Stegostoma tigrinum: one gene and its partner. The protein of the gene in region 1 interacts with the protein of each later gene in a pairwise test. Links are inferred from orthologs where the notes say so. Each region holds a gene or a part of one and is shown on either strand. Other genes may lie near its edges.

Region 1 (7,795 bases):
AACCTGTCCTTCCTCTCACCTATCCCCACCTCCCACCTCAAGCCACACCTCCATTTTCTACCTACTAACCTCATCCCACCCCCTTGACCTGTCCATCCTCCCCGGACTGACCTATCCCCTCCCTACCTCCCCACCTATACACTCCTCTACAGGCTCCATCCCTGCCCCTTTAACTTGTCTGTCTCCTCTCCACCTATCTTCTCCTCTATCCATCTTTGATCTGCCTCCCCTTCTCTCCCTATCTCTTTCAGAACCCTCTCCTCATCCCCCTTTTCTGATGAAGGGTCTAGGCCCGAAACTTCAGGTTCTGTGCTCCTAAAATGCTGCTTGGCCTGCTGTGTTCATCCAGCTTCACACTTTGTTATCTCGGATTCTCCAGCATCTGCAGTTCTCATTATCTCAAATACCAGGGAGTACAGGTTTAAGGTGAGAGAGGGCAAGTTTAAAGGAGATGTATGAAGTAATTTTTTTTTACACAGAGTGTGATATGCGCATGGAACATTCTGCCACAGGAGGCGGTAGAAACAGATTATGATAGCAACAGACACATGAACAGGCAGGGAATGGCGAGATATGGATCATGTCCAGGCAGATCGGATTAATTTAGAATGGCATACCGGTTGGCACATACCAGTGGGCAGAAGGGCCTGTTTCTGTTGTGTGCTGTTCTATGTTCTGGCAGAGTATGAGATCCTTGCCTTTATCAGTCATGGCATAGACTCTATGAGCAGAGAGGTTCTGTTGGATCTGTACAGCACTTTGGTTAGGCCACAGCTGGAGTACCGTGTGCATATGAAAGAAGAGATTGAACTGAATGGGTGCAAAGGAGATTCACCAGAATATTGCCTGGGATGGAGCACTGGAGCTCTGAAGAATAGCTAAATAAGTTGGGGTTCTTTTCTTCACAGCAGAGAAAGTTGTTGGGGGAGGTGGATTCTGATGGAGCTGTAAAGGATTATGATGGGCTTGGACAAAAGTGAATAGAAAGCAGCTGTTCCTCTTAGTCGAAGTGTCATAATTATAAAGTGAAAGGCAGGAGGTTTAGAGGGGATGTGAAAAAAAGCATTTTCACCCAGAGAGTTGGGAAACTGGAATGCACCGCCTGGGAGCTTAGTTTAGGCAGGAACTCTCACAATCCTTAAAAAGTAGGTGGGCAAGCACTTGAAGTGTCATTAACATTGGCTATGGGGCTTGTACAGGAAAGTGAGACTAGGAGGTAGTAGGGCATTTTAGTTGTACAGACTCAATGGGATGAACGGTCTCTTCTGTACTGTATAATTCTATGATTTGATAAGCCTAAGTGAACATTAATGTTTCTCATTACCTGATATGAATTTCTACATAATTTGCTTTCATTGCCTTTACTTTCTTATTAGCTACCTTTTTTTAGATTATTATCTGCTATAATATAACAATGCCAGATGCAAAGCTTTCACAAGGTTAACTGTCATCTAATATTTGAGCTTGTATTACTACCTTGGAATTGGTTGTTCAAACACTATTTTAAATTGATATTCAATTTTAGTCAATCCACAATATATCACTGAATGACGTACACACTCAAAGTTTTCCGCGTTTGCTTATTGGGGTTTACTGTCCTGTGGATATAAACATAAACGTGTTTGTGTGTATTTTAAAACCAAACCATTTTGAAAGGTACCAAGTAGTAACCATCACAATTTCTGCATATATATTAGGAGCACAGTTCAGTTATCGGGTATCTATTTTACTAGAGCCACAGATTTAAAAGGTCGTATGTAATTTCAAGTACAAAATGTTGACAGATTTCACGAACGCATTTCGAGTCATTACTGCCAGAGGAAATCCGTAGTTGCCCAAGAATAAACCATGCAACGTTACTAATTTAAAGGATACAAACTCTGTAACATCGCTTTGATGTAAAAGGGAGGCCTACATCTCCACGCTGTCTTGCCTTTTAGCCACTGTTTTGTTCCAACTGATGGAAATGGACACTAAACTCATACCATCTTATCCCCACTGAAACACGCGGTTCAGGAATGTACATTTTTCACATAAAACGTTAAAAATCTAAGTCTGCAGTAATTGTCTGCAAAAATGACCAGTGTCGCTTTTAAAGGTATATATTTAAATACAGCTTCAATATTTGTGTAGGATTTAAATGCACAAAATAACACAATTCTCCTACCGCGTTGCTTACTTGTGCGTTTTAAATAAACCAGTCTGATTTAGAAACAAGGAAAATTGCCTGCACTGCATGATATGTATGTATATAGATTTATTTTAATATCGATATTACGCAGCGATCGAGGGATAGCATCTCTTATCCGCGTTACCATCTTCCATCCTGCCTGCCTGCTACTGTGGGATATTCCAAAATCATTAAGCGTCTTTGTTAGCATCACATCCCTTGATTTCATTTTCTGCAGACAGAAAGAATTCCCCAGTCGCGCTACAGCTAAGAAATCTCGATCGCATTATTTCTACTTCCTGCCCTATGTCGGGGGTTCCCAGTTGACATTCGCTACCTTTTATCCAGGCAAGAGATCCATTCTGATGATGCTGAGGACTGGGACGAGGTATGAGCAGCCACCATGGCCAGGGAGATCATGGGCTCAGCAGCTGCACGGACTTGTAGCAAACAAGAGAACGACGGAGTCAGGAGGAGCTGGTTGCTGCGAAAATCATCTCCTCACATTTACAGCTCCAAAGCTGGGAGCAAAAACAACCCCTTTTGACGTCAGAGTGCTGAAGCTAGACAGGAGCGCTTCGTGCCTCAGCAAAAGGGAAAGTGCAGTTTGCAGTCGAATGGCCACGGCAGCTGTCTGCAGCCAAGAGAGAGAAGGAACGCAAGGACCCAAGCCGCTGCGGAGAGCTGACAGCAGGGGGGGTGAGAGATACCACTGCGCTGCCGACTGAACACCAGCCCCTCTGTGCAACAAGTACAAACGTTCAGCATCTCACAGTGAAACCTGCTGCTCGGCTACTGTACTCCACATTCATTCCACGCCACACGTGACATCCTGCACTTTGCCGTCTTCCGATAAACTATCCGACTGAACTGCCGGTAGGGCTCGGTGTACACATTCAACATTGCGCTGGCAGTAAAATTGAAGGCGTTAACACTCAACGTAAAAAGTATCAGCATTACAAATATCCGGATTACAATGCTGATTATGTTTTAACTTGGTCCTAACTATATTAACGCTTTCCATTTAAGATCAGTTAGATACTTTGCAATAGAGGGCGAAGTCTTCACAATTCAAAGCAAGGTGAACAAGATTTCAAAAGCCGATGCATTATTATTATTATTAGCACTGAGGACTTACTGTATGGATCATTAATTTGCCTCTACCGTTTACATCGCTTGCACAGATCTCTTGCCTGACAGTTTCTTGTTGCGGCTGAATTGATTAATCTAGGGTGAAGATTATTAATACTGGGGAACTGACTTGAACACATAATTCATTAGGCTCACTATCCAATTAATCTTATTTACGCAACTTTAGAAGAGCAATGAAAAAGCGCTTACACCCAAAAGGACAATACAGTTCCCTGACTTGTTCAATGTCTGTAGAATTTGCTATTTTCAATTTCAGATTCGACAGGTTCAGTTTTTTGTGCTTTTTTTGTAGAATAGCACTGCATCAATGTAGAATGTGACTTTACCACAATCTTTAAACAATCTTACAGGAATTAAAACAGGGACTTTTTTTGACCTGGAGATTTAAACAAATAGTGCTGAATCTATGCAGTATTTTAAAAAAAAGACAGATGAATTAGCACTGAAATTACTACAATATTTCTGTTCATAAGGATCGACTGTATACGATATATAAGATTGCACATGTTCTTCAGCTAGAAATGTAAAACACAAAATCAATTAGGCCCAGAGCACCTATATAGCTCTCCAAAATACCTGCTTATTTAGTCCCATTGCATTGTCCTTAACCATACTGTATTTCCCCAAATATTTATACATTTCCCTTTTAAAATCCTCAATAATTTTTTTCTTTATTCATTTGCAGGATGAGGGTGTCACTGGTGAGGCAACATTTATTGCCCATTCCCAATCCCTGGAGGGCATTTAAGAGTCAACCACATTACTGTGGGTCTGGAGTCATATGTAGACCAGACCGGATAAGGATGGCAGTTTCCTTCCCTAAAGGACATTGGTGAACCAGATGGGGTTTTTTTCTAAGAATCAACAATGGATTCACAGTCATCATTAGACTCCTAATTCCAGATATTTATTGAATTCAAATTCCACCATCAGCCATGGTGGGATTCAAACCCAGGTTCCCAGAATGTTATCTGAGTCTCTGGATTAACAATTCAGCAAATATACCACGAGGCCATTGCCTCCCAACTATTAGCTGTAGCTATAAAAAGCTATTGTATGGCATTATTTCTGGTAAGTCACATTATGTTCTGAGATCCGTTCTGTTAAAATGCAGTCACAATTTGGGGACTTTTGACCTCTTCCACAAGAAAGATATTTTCAAAAGTTACTTCACTTCTACATGTATCAAAAGAGAGAGCTAAAGATGTCGTTGCTGATGGTGAGGGCAAAGTAAGTCAGCAGATTACAGGAAGACTGATTTAGAAGAATGCAGAGTTCCTACGGGGGTGCAGAGCTTGGGGCACTATGAAGAGATGTGAATACAATGATGGGAATGTTAAATTAAGCTGTTGTTGAACTGGTAGCCATTGTGAGTTTGTGAGTTCAGGGATGATAGAAAAACATCCTCTCCTAAAATAACAGCATAAGTTTGGTCAGTCAAAACCAGTTCTGTTGAACAGGACATTTAAGACAGGCATCACACTCCTGAAGCTACTGTTCTACTCAAAACTCGGAAACAGAAAGTAAATAAGAAAGAAACTAGAATTTTAGCCTTTCTTGTAACAGAGTTGGAGTTTAAAATCAGGGAAATCTTGTTAACAACAACACAGGATGTGTTGTGAGGCTGCACCTGGAGAACTGTGCACACATTTGTTTTGCGTATTTAGTAAAGAATATACTGGTATTGGAGACAATTCAAAATAAATTCACTGGGCTGTTTCCTGGGAAGAAAGGCTAAACAAGTTAGGCATTTTCTTTATTAGAGTTTAGAAGAATGAGGGAGTGATCTTATTGAGACATAAGATTTTGATGCAGGGCTCACACTGAGAAGATATTTCCAGTAGTGGGGATTTCAAACTAGGGACCACAATTGTAGAATAAGGTGATGTTTATTTAAAACTCAGGTGCAAAGAAATGTTTTCCCTCAGAGGGTAGTGAATGTCTGGAATTCTCAACTCCCAGAAATTCGTGGAGACTAGATCACTTGAAAGTATTTAACGAAAAAGTAGATAGATTTTTGAAAATATTGAGAAATTGAGAACTATTAAGAGCTGACATGAGGAAAGAGTTGAGGACTGGGACAGATCAGCCATGATCTTATTGAATAGTGGGGCAAGTGTGACAGACTGCGTGCCTACTCTGTCTTCTATTTCATATGTAACAGGCGGAGGCAGAAGTCTGCTGGGTGAACAGTGGAAACACGTTATCGAAGTCCTCAAAGCATCCCCGTCTACTCATGACAACCCCTGGCTTATGACTGATCAAGAAGATTCATTCTGGAAAGCATTGAGACATTTCATTAAGCACACAGAGGCAAAGTTATGGCATCGGAAGGCACACAAATTTCCGTCTAGCCACCCCTCCAAGCATGGGACCAAGTCCACAGGAGACGCTTTGGATTTATCAGTGATCTCATATCTCCTTGAATCAGAATGGAAACAAGTCATCCTCAAACCAGCGTGACAGAGTAAGATGAGTAGAGCATTGGAAATCTGAAAACTTTAATCTGCAGCTCTGAAGGGCAAGGAAAAGTATACAGCAGAAAATGGGTTGAAGTAGGATAGAGATGGACAACTATTTAAAAATATGGCTTTGAAACAGTAGGTGGATGAGATGCTAATAAACAGCTCTTGAAATTGCCTCATTATAGCCTAAACAACATGCAATTTCTTTGGTGCCAGATAACTAACTTTGTGGGGAAGCATAGTGTATTCATTGTTTTATATTATTGTGATCACAAGCTGCATTGATTGTATGAAAGAGATCAGATGATAACTTTTACTCTGCACATTCTCTCATTGTGAGAAAAGGCAATCTTTTGCTTTGTGTTTGCACTTGTTTTGCTAAGTGTTTGCATGGTCTGTCTGAGAACAAGTTGACAACATAGTCACACAAGATTCAAATACCCAGTTCAGGTGATAAGCTGCTATGCAAGAGGCTTAAAAAGGATTGTGAGTTAACTCAATTAAAAATACTCAGACTATTTACAGAAACCACAAACACCACTGAACCAGAACCCTTATCAAGGGCTATGGGGAGAGTGCAGGGAAATGGTGTTGAAATGCCCATCAGCCATGATTTAAATGGCAGAGTGGACTTGATGGGCCGAATGGCCTTACTTCCACTCCTATGTCTTATGGTTTTATGTCTTATGGTCTCCTTATGGTCTAAAACAGAGCTGAATTTGCAACAGCATACCTTCATTTTATTTAATTTAGTACCAAATGTGTACCTTCCAGGTGTCAAGCCACCTAACCAGTGAAAATTATTCTATTTTAACCTCGTAGGGTGAATAAATCATTATCTCCTGTAATGAAGAAAATGTGTCACATTTCATCCTAACCTCCTATGTTAGACTGAAAGTATGCAGCTTTTTAACTCAGTAATTACAACAAATCTATGCTGAGCAAAATAATTTGTAAATATGGATGGGAAATCTTACGAAAAAGTGATGATACTTAGTCATTAGCAATTTCTAGCATACCTATTATTCACCCATTGATGAAATATTCCTGCCCTGTTTGGTAGGTTTCAGAGAAAATTGATCACTTCCTATTTGTGTCGTTCAAAGCAATGAAGATCAGTGACAATAGGGAGGATGATCATTCCATACTTTTGTCTTGCACACTTTAAATCTGAAATACACAGTAAGAAAGAAAGAACTGCCAATTAAATCATACCTTTAACATCCTCAGGGCATTATAATTCGTCAAGGTCTGCTCTCAATACAGACACAGTGGCAGATAGTTAAAGGATGTTATTTTCTAGAAAACTCTGAATTAGTATGTTCATACTTTGAAGAAAAATTCTACTGCGAGGACCTATCATCTGTGGTGAACTAAAGAGCTTGATGAAAACTTCAAACATAAGGAAAAAGCATATAAATGTGCAGAGATGAGTTGCAGGTCAAATGGCTGGTCAATATAAAGAACAGCAGACAACGGCTATCAAGAAGCAGATAGTAGGCCTGATGGTCTTTTTTGGATTAGCACCATGTAACAAATGGTGTCACACAGGGATTGGTTCTGGGACTTCAACTGTTTATAATTTATATAAATAGCTTAGATAAAGGGACAGAAGGCATGGTTGCCAAATGTTCTGACAACACAAAGGTAAGTTAGGAACGTAAGTTGTGAAGACAACAATGACACCAAAGAAGTGTGTAGATAGGTTAAGTAAATGGGAAAGGATGTGACCAATGTGGTATGTGAAATTATCCATTTGGGCAGGAAAAATTAAAAAGAAGTGTACAATCTAAATGGTGAGAGGTTGCAGAACTTTGAGATTCAATGGGATCTGGGTATCCTCATATATGAATCCAAAAGGATAAATGCAGGTACAGAGAGTCATGAGGACCACTAATAAAATGTTATGAGATGAATATTGGAGTAGGGAGCATATGCTACATTTATACAGGCCATGGGTGAGACGTCACCTGTAGAGTATTGCATTGTTTAACTTATTTAATGAAGG
Region 2 (7,928 bases), on another chromosome or scaffold:
ACTATTCTAGTGCCAATACATCTGCGTACTCACCCCTTCACTGATGAAGAGACCAGATGAGTCAAGTTTAGGGCAGAGGATGATGTGCATTTTTATTGTGTAAAGGATGCAGCCGACAGGCCTGTCCATGCATAACACGTGTACATGCTATTTTTGCCTATAACCTGTTATGATCCCAGCTAATGATATTAAACAAGTCAGATTTACGAGCGGATAGTGACCTGATAAACTGAGTTGTATTTTTTCTTTTGTTTGTTGAGGAGGTCAGTCACTGAGCATATGCACAATAGACTCTCTATGCACTTTAAATAAAAGAAAACAAAAGTTGGTTAAACAAGAGAAGAGCATAAATTATATGACCCTACACAAGAACTATTGGAACAATCTCATTACAAATATCAGAAAGACAGGTTCATCCCTTTTGCCCTGGCAATAACCTCACTCAAACCTCAGTAAATGAGTCAATATTATCTCCTTGTCAAAGCTGGTGAGGCTGTAATCTGTTTCTTCCAGCAACTTGTCTATCCATTACATGCTATTTTCTTTGATTAATGTTTCTCCCCTTTGTTAATATTTCTCAGATACTTGACGCACATTTGTGGGAATTGTAGCTTCTGAGCATTGTGTTAAAGATTTCTTAAATTAATTAGAGGTCTTTTCATCTCATTCCCATTTATCAGTTCAAAAGAACTGAAATTCTAGGGGCATCCCAAATGAAAATCATTAGGATTTCTTGTCAATAAGTTCTAATCATGATCTTTAATGTCATTTTTGTAATGATACTTGAGATTGTTGACAACAAACTAAGGATATAAACTGTTTTTATTTCCCAAACAATTTATTTATTTATTCACTGAAATTAAACTCCTTACAAAGTGGAGAGGGAGAAAAATGCTAACAAGGATATCACTAGTCACTCTGTGAGAGGGTAGGCGAGGGGGTGCGGGGTAGGGGGGTGGTAGAAGAGAGTCCAGCGTTGAATCCCTGCTCATCTGGCAAGTGGAGGAAATGTGGCGCATTGAAGACCTTCATCTGAGAGCTCCACTACCCAATTTCCTGATTTGAAGCTTAGCCTGTGGAAGATGGGAGACACAAAGCCACCTCTAACTGATTGGGAGATAATAAAATGTGAGGCTGGATGAACACAGCAGGCCAAGCAGCATCTCGGGAGCACAAAAGCTGACGTTTCGGGCCTAGACCCTTCTTCAGAGAGGGGGATGGGGGGAGGGAACTGGAATAAATAGGGAGAGAGGGGGAGGCGGACCGAAGATGGAGAGTAAAGAAGATAGGTGGAGGGGGTGTAGGTGGGGAGGTAGGGAGGGGATAGGTCAGTCCAGGGAAGACGGACAGGTCAAGGAGGTGGGATGCATCCCAAAACCAGTCCAACCTGTCTCTGCCTCCCTAACCGGGTCTTCCTCTCACCCATCCCTTCCTCCCACCCCAAGCCGCACCCCCAGCTACCTACTAACCTCATCCCACCTCCTTGACCTGCCCGTCTTCCCTGGACTGACCTATCCCCTCCCTACCTCCCCACCTATACTCTCTCCACCTATCTTCTTTACTCTCCATCTTCGGTCCGCCTCCCCCTCGCTCCCTATTTATTCCAGTTCCCTCCCCCCATCCCCCTCTCTGATGAAGGGTCTAGGCCCGAAACGTCAGCTTTTGTGCTCCTGAGATGCTGCTTGGCCTGCTGTGTTCATCCAGCCTCACATTTTATTATCTTGGAATCTCCAGCATCTGCAGTTCCCATTATCTCTAACTGATTGGGATCAGGTTGTCTTGATGCTGGGTTGTGTGTGAATACAACCCAAAGTAAATTCCATCTGAGCTTGAATACTGGCATGAGACTGTTGGTCAACAAATGCCATTAGGAGTTTAAAAAAGATGGTGTCCATGCAGAGGGTCCGAGAGGATTCAATTTAATTTGTCTTCTGAAGTAAAATGACATAATTCCACCCCCTGTCACATTATGCATCCTTGAGATTGCTTATGTGAACTGGCCAGTTGCATCTCTTTTTTTTTCTTGATTTATCCCTTAACTGTGGGGGCTAGAATCAAGGAATCATAGACATTAATTAGGTTATTTTGTAGTTTAACTTTATTAATGACACAGTAGGTTTAGTAGAACAAATTGTTCAATTTTTTAAAGTTACAAACTTGGTATCTGGTTTCAGTTATTCACAATGTCAGTAGTTTTTTTTTCTAAACCAGCAGCAAAAGATAGGGCCTGCACTGAAGCATCATTTCATGTTTGTCATGTCTGGGTAAAGCACAAGATCATTCACAGATGGGGTGAAGTAATTTCTTTGCTCATTAACAGGATGAGGGTGTTGCAGGCGAGGCATCATTTAACACCCATCCTGAATTGCCCAGAGGGCGGTTCAGTCAAACACATTGCTGTTGGTCTGGAGTTACATGTAGGCCAGGCTATGTAAGGGTGACAGTTTCCTTCCCTGAAGGAATTTAGTGAACCAGACGAGTTTTTCCCAACAACCTGCTGTGGTGAACCTGGGCCCCGGGAACGTTACCTGGATCTCTGTATTAGTAGTCCAGTGATAATAGCACTAGGCTATTGCCACCCCTATATAAAGAAACAATGACCCTAGGTTGCTGACTGTGTATTCAGGGACTAAGAATAAATAATTTCAGCAACCCAGAGCATGCCACTTGGTGCTTCCACAGCAACAAGATAAATGTCTTTCAGTTCTGAAGAAGGGTCACTGGACCTGAAATGTTCACTCTGCTTTCTCTCACAGATGCTGCCAGACCCACTAAATTCCTCCAGCAATTTCTGTTTTTGGTTGTGAACAGATCATCATGTTCATCTCAAATTTGCCCCTTCAAGTGGACATGGGTTAGCTGCCTAATGCCAACAGCTATTTGAGTTACAAAGCCATGGATAATTGGAGATAATTACTATCCAAAATGATATGGAGTTGGAAGCCAAATTAGGTCATTCAAAATTGTTCTGTGATCAGGGTCAGGGGGAGGACAGCAGGTGAGGCATGTGTGACATCCCAGAGGATTAAAACTGAGGAGGCTTATCCTCTGCAACTGCCCAACAGTTATGAGGTTCTTGCAAGCTCTGCAGGTGAGAGTAAGGACTACAGGGAGAATGAGCAAACCAATCAGAGCACCTTGGCACAGGGAGTCATTCAAGCAGAGAAGGAGAAAAGAATGTTGTTGTGATAGGGTACAGTATAATTAGGGAATAGATACTGTTCTCTGCAGCCATGAGCAGGCTGTGTTGCCTGCCCAGTGCTAGGGTTGAGGACATCTAAGAGCTGAAGAAAAACTTAGAGAGGGATCCAGTTTCATTGTCTACATCAGTACCAACAACTGGAAAATGAGATCTTGCTGAAAAGTCTTTAACAGTTAGCTAATTTAAAAGTAGAATCTCTGAGGTAATAATTTCTAGATTAATACTTGAGCCACAGCCAAACTGCTGTAAGATAAATAAAGGCAAGTTTAAGGAAGGAAACTGGCATCCTTACCTGGTCTGGCCTACATGTAACTCCAGACCTACAGCAATGTGTTTGACTCTGAACTGCCTTCTGGGCAATACATGCTGCGTAGCCCTCTGTTATATGTCTAGTTATTACCTCAGATGGGGTGTTGTGCACAATTCCCTTCTGTGTTCCTTTCCCAAGCCACACATCATCCTGACTGGCAACTATATTGCCGTTCTTCACTGTCACTGGGTCAAAATCCCAAGGCCCTCTGAACAGCAATGTGGGTTTGCCTACCCATAGAGACTGTAGTGCTTTAAGGAGACATCTCAACACCACCACCTTTTCAAGGCAGTTTGAGGTGAGCAATAAATGCTAGCCCAGATAGCGATGACCACATCTCAGTAAGTTATCATTTTAACATGGAGGTGCCAATTTCAAATGATGCCAAGACCTTGGAGAAGGTGCATAGGATATCCACACCCACGATGAGAGAATTCAGTTATTTTGGGAGATTGGTGAAGCTGGGGTTGCGTTCTTCGGGTAGAGAAAGTTAAGGGGAGACCTAACAATTATTATGTTTTAACTAGAGCAAGTAGGAAGAAACTTCTTTGGAGAGTGAGTTCATAAGCAGAGTTTATAAATTTAAATTACTGGCAAAAGAACAAGAGAGGACACAGCCACATTTCTTGTACAGAAAACTTTTGTGACCTAGAATGCACTACCTGACACAGGGGTGGAATTAAATTATTTAGGAAATTTTATGAGGCAATTGGACATGTATTTGGCAAGTACAACTAAATTCGACTGTTCTTTCTAAGAACCAGTACAGACATGATGGCCTTATTGGCCTGCCGTGCTCTAAGATTCTGTAATTCCGAAGTCTTAAACCAAAAATTTCGAGGTTTTGAAATGAATGACGCCGAACAAGTATAAATTATGACGCATTGTATTTTTTATTTGGTTCATGGATTATTTAAAAATGATGAAAGTAAAATATCGGCAAAAGTCTTCAAGTTCTAATTGCTCACCAGTCATAGTTGTTTCCACCATTTAAGTAACCCCGTAGAAGCGTTGCATGGGTAAAATTGAGAGGTGCTTCTTATTGGAGATTGTCGGTTGTAAAATTTGAGTGATTTTAGCCGATGACAATTCTGCCCTGCTTTGCGCCAACTTGTTTAACCGTTCAGAATTGACGTACAACTTTGGAAGAATATTGAGCACTTGATCGGGTTAAAAACACTTTGTCCCTTTGATAAATTGCTTTTGAGTATTATTTCCTCAATGTTTCTGGTTTGAACAAGCACCTTCGCGTTTCTGAAGTGGAGTACAGTTTAGCCATAAAATACATCTACGTGTAAATTCTGTGATTTACTGTTTGATTTAAAGCGTGAGTTTTCTGCAATGGTGCAGTCTGAGGAATTACAATGAGTCCCTTTCAGTTTGGGCACTGTAGTTTGTGGGTGGAGTTCCTCTCTGGGAATGTGAACTGCGCCGAGCCGGTAACGGACGTGCGGAAGGGTTGGGTTACACCGCTGGGAGATTGCGGCCAGTGACTGTACAGTGAAAGCAAAACGGTCACGTAAGAGACAGGAATGGCGCTTCGAGATGAGCTTTTGAAAGTGATCTGGCATGCATTTACCGCTCTAGACGTCGACAAATGTGGAAAAGTGTCCAAATCCCAACTCAAGGCGAGTTTGAGATTCTTTTTGTTGAGTTTGGTAGCTATTTGCATTAAGATAGGCTGGAGGTGAGGGGACCCGGGCTGTTTTTCGAGGGGGTGGAGAGCGGGATCAGAGAGCGGCAGGGCCGTGTTGAGAGGGGTTTGTTGGACTGTGGGAGCTGTACTGGTCTGGCCAGTGTTAAAGGGGTGAGGGTGCTGGACTGGTCAGCGCTGCTGTGTTGAGGGAAGTGAGATGCTGGTTAGAGTTGAGGGTTGTTTTAGGCTGTGGGACCTGTGCGGTGTGGGCTGTGTTGTGTTAAGGGTCTTGTTGGACTGAAGGCGCTGTGCTGTTGTGGGCTGTGTTGGCTCAGGGCTGGACTGAGGAACCTGTGTTGATGTGGGCTCTGTTGGGTGAGGGCTGGACTGTGGCAAGGGCTTTCCTGGACTGTGGGACCTGTGTTGGTGTGAGCTATATCGGGCGAGGGCAGGGCTGTATGAGAGATACACCAGTTCCTCCTCTTCCTTGGCATAGACCTGCAGGCTGCTACTGTATACTTTATGCTTTACTGTTACCATTCATTTTCCACTAAAACTGTGACACTTGGTATCTGATCTCAGCAATGAAATTTGAAAACAGATTGTGCAAGATCCTTTTAGTGATTGTCGAATGTTTGAGGGATTTCTAGAATTTGATCTGCCTTGTGAAGGGATGAGGTTATTTTCAAAGTTCATCCACATTTTTTTCTATAAAATGTAACTGAGAAAAATTCATTTCTTCTTTAAAGAAGAGATTTTTAAAATTTCTTTCAGCAGGCCATGAATAATAGACTAATTTTCTGTTCTGTCTTCATTTGCAATGCTATTTCTTTTGTGTGTTCCCTGTTTTAAGATGTATTAGTGAATGGTGAAATGCTAAATATTTACTGCATTGTGCACAATGTGTTTGTTTCCTTGTGTATTTAATTGCCATCAATTAAGGAACTTTGTTAGTGAAACTGCCTTGTAGGCTGGATTTTAATATGTAGTTGTATAATCCAGGACATTGTGGGTCAACCTGTGGCACATGGACTGCAGTGGTTCTAGAAGGCACCTCACCACCTTCTCAAGGGTAACTAGGGATGAGTAGTAAGTGCTGGCCAGCCAGTAACCCTCATGTCCCACAAGTCGATATAAAAACATTTGCACTTGGAGATGCATGTAATTAGAAGGGGTGGGGGAACAGAGAACTTGGCTCAAAATATTGAGGAAGTAAGGATGAAGTCACATTATCTGCCTAAGAATGCTGCTCCTGAATGTACTCTTCTGTTCCCATCTCTCCATTCCTGTGTTGAAATGCAACTCAGCTCATTATGATGATCCTGCTAGAAACCAGAAATGCCAATTTTTTAGAATTATGCTGATTATCCTGGCTGAGCTGCATTCTCTTCTTTTATTAGCTGCAATCAATGTTAATACACTGCATGATTTTGACCCTGATCCTACCCTGTGCCCAGTGTGCTTAAGTGATAGTTAGGTAACTTGATGTTTTTAATTTCTGTACTTGAAGAAGTCTGATCATTTTTTGGATTGTTTTTGCCCATTTTTGTGTACATCAATAAGATTGCTAGGAAATTAGGTTGTGAATGACAAAATGGTCAGTGAATGGTTACAGTTTCCATTGTGACTTCTTAATTGTGTGCCTGAAGGGAACTCAGATCATTTGTTACAGGGACTGTCATAACCGAGAGTTAGTGCATTCCAAAGCCTCCGGGATGAAACTGGTGCTTTTGTTGATGTGCATTTCAAATTATTTTCAATGGGAAAGCAGGAGCATATCTGCATCAATTCCATATCCTTGCTCTTCTGTGAAATAGGATATTTTAGAAAATTTCATCCTATGTTTTTAATAGTTGTAATCATCTCACCCATGCAAATGGTTAGCATGAGGTCAGAAGTCAATGCCAGGTTGCAGTCTAATAGATTTATTTGAAATCACAAACTTTCACTTTGGGGCAATGCTACAAAAGCTTGTGATTTCAAATAAATTTGTTGGACTATAACCTGGTGTTATATGACTCCTAACCTTGTCCACCCCAGTCCAATACTGGCACCTCCACATTGTGTTTAATAGGTGATGAGGTCCCAGGTTCCACCCTCGTTTCTAATTTAGGTAGTCTTAGGGTGTATTCAGATGCCACAGTTGGCTTCAATTCATTTTGAGATAAAGAAATGAAAAATAAAAGTTTTTGCTGCAATTCAGTGAGTTATGCTGTGAAGGACAGATGTAGGAGTTTAAGATTGGGTTTAACTGTGATGCATCAAGTGGTCAAATCATCTACCTATGTCCATTGTCTGCATTATACCTGAAGAATAACCACTTGGGTGGAGGAATTGGAGGATTTGTTATGCACCATTACTTTTAGTGGAATTTAAAGTAAAAGCGATAGCTCTGCGGGGAGGAAAAGAATATTCCATTAAATTTGTTTTTAACCTCTTTTTATTTAAAAGATAACTTAGTAAAGCGTAACCAGAGCTAAGGAAGGCATCAGATGCAGTCCACACAGAACTGTGATTGTCGTACATACAGATTATGTTTGAGGCTTCTAGCCTTGTTTTTCCACTGATTGTTACCAAAAATTGTTTGCTACGTATCCAGGCAGCTACTCTGCTTTCAGAAGTCATATGGAATCAATACTATGCATCGGGTAGCAGTTTTAATGAGGGCATTTGTATTTCAGTGGCTCAGATCAGCTCACACATTACAGGCAAGGAAGTGACCCTCCATCATCATAGCTTGTATGATTCATCTAATCTCTGGATGAACTTTTTAGGTTATA

What was found.
Region 2: the proteins of rapgef4a (region 1) and switch-associated protein 70-like interact in a two-hybrid assay, tested with the Homo sapiens proteins (2 studies listed by BioGRID and IntAct). The link is inferred for Stegostoma tigrinum from reciprocal best matches to the Homo sapiens genes RAPGEF4 and SWAP70.

The regions. Positions count from the first base shown.
Region 1 is NC_081360.1:48,901,004-48,908,798, forward strand, and holds the start of rapgef4a (rap guanine nucleotide exchange factor 4), read right to left. Parts: upstream 3,009-7,795; 5' UTR 2,591-3,008; coding exon 2,508-2,590; intron 1-2,507.
Region 2 is NC_081370.1:27,202,158-27,210,085, reverse strand, and holds the start of switch-associated protein 70-like, read left to right. Parts: upstream 1-4,927; 5' UTR 4,928-5,044; coding exon 5,045-5,140; intron 5,141-7,928.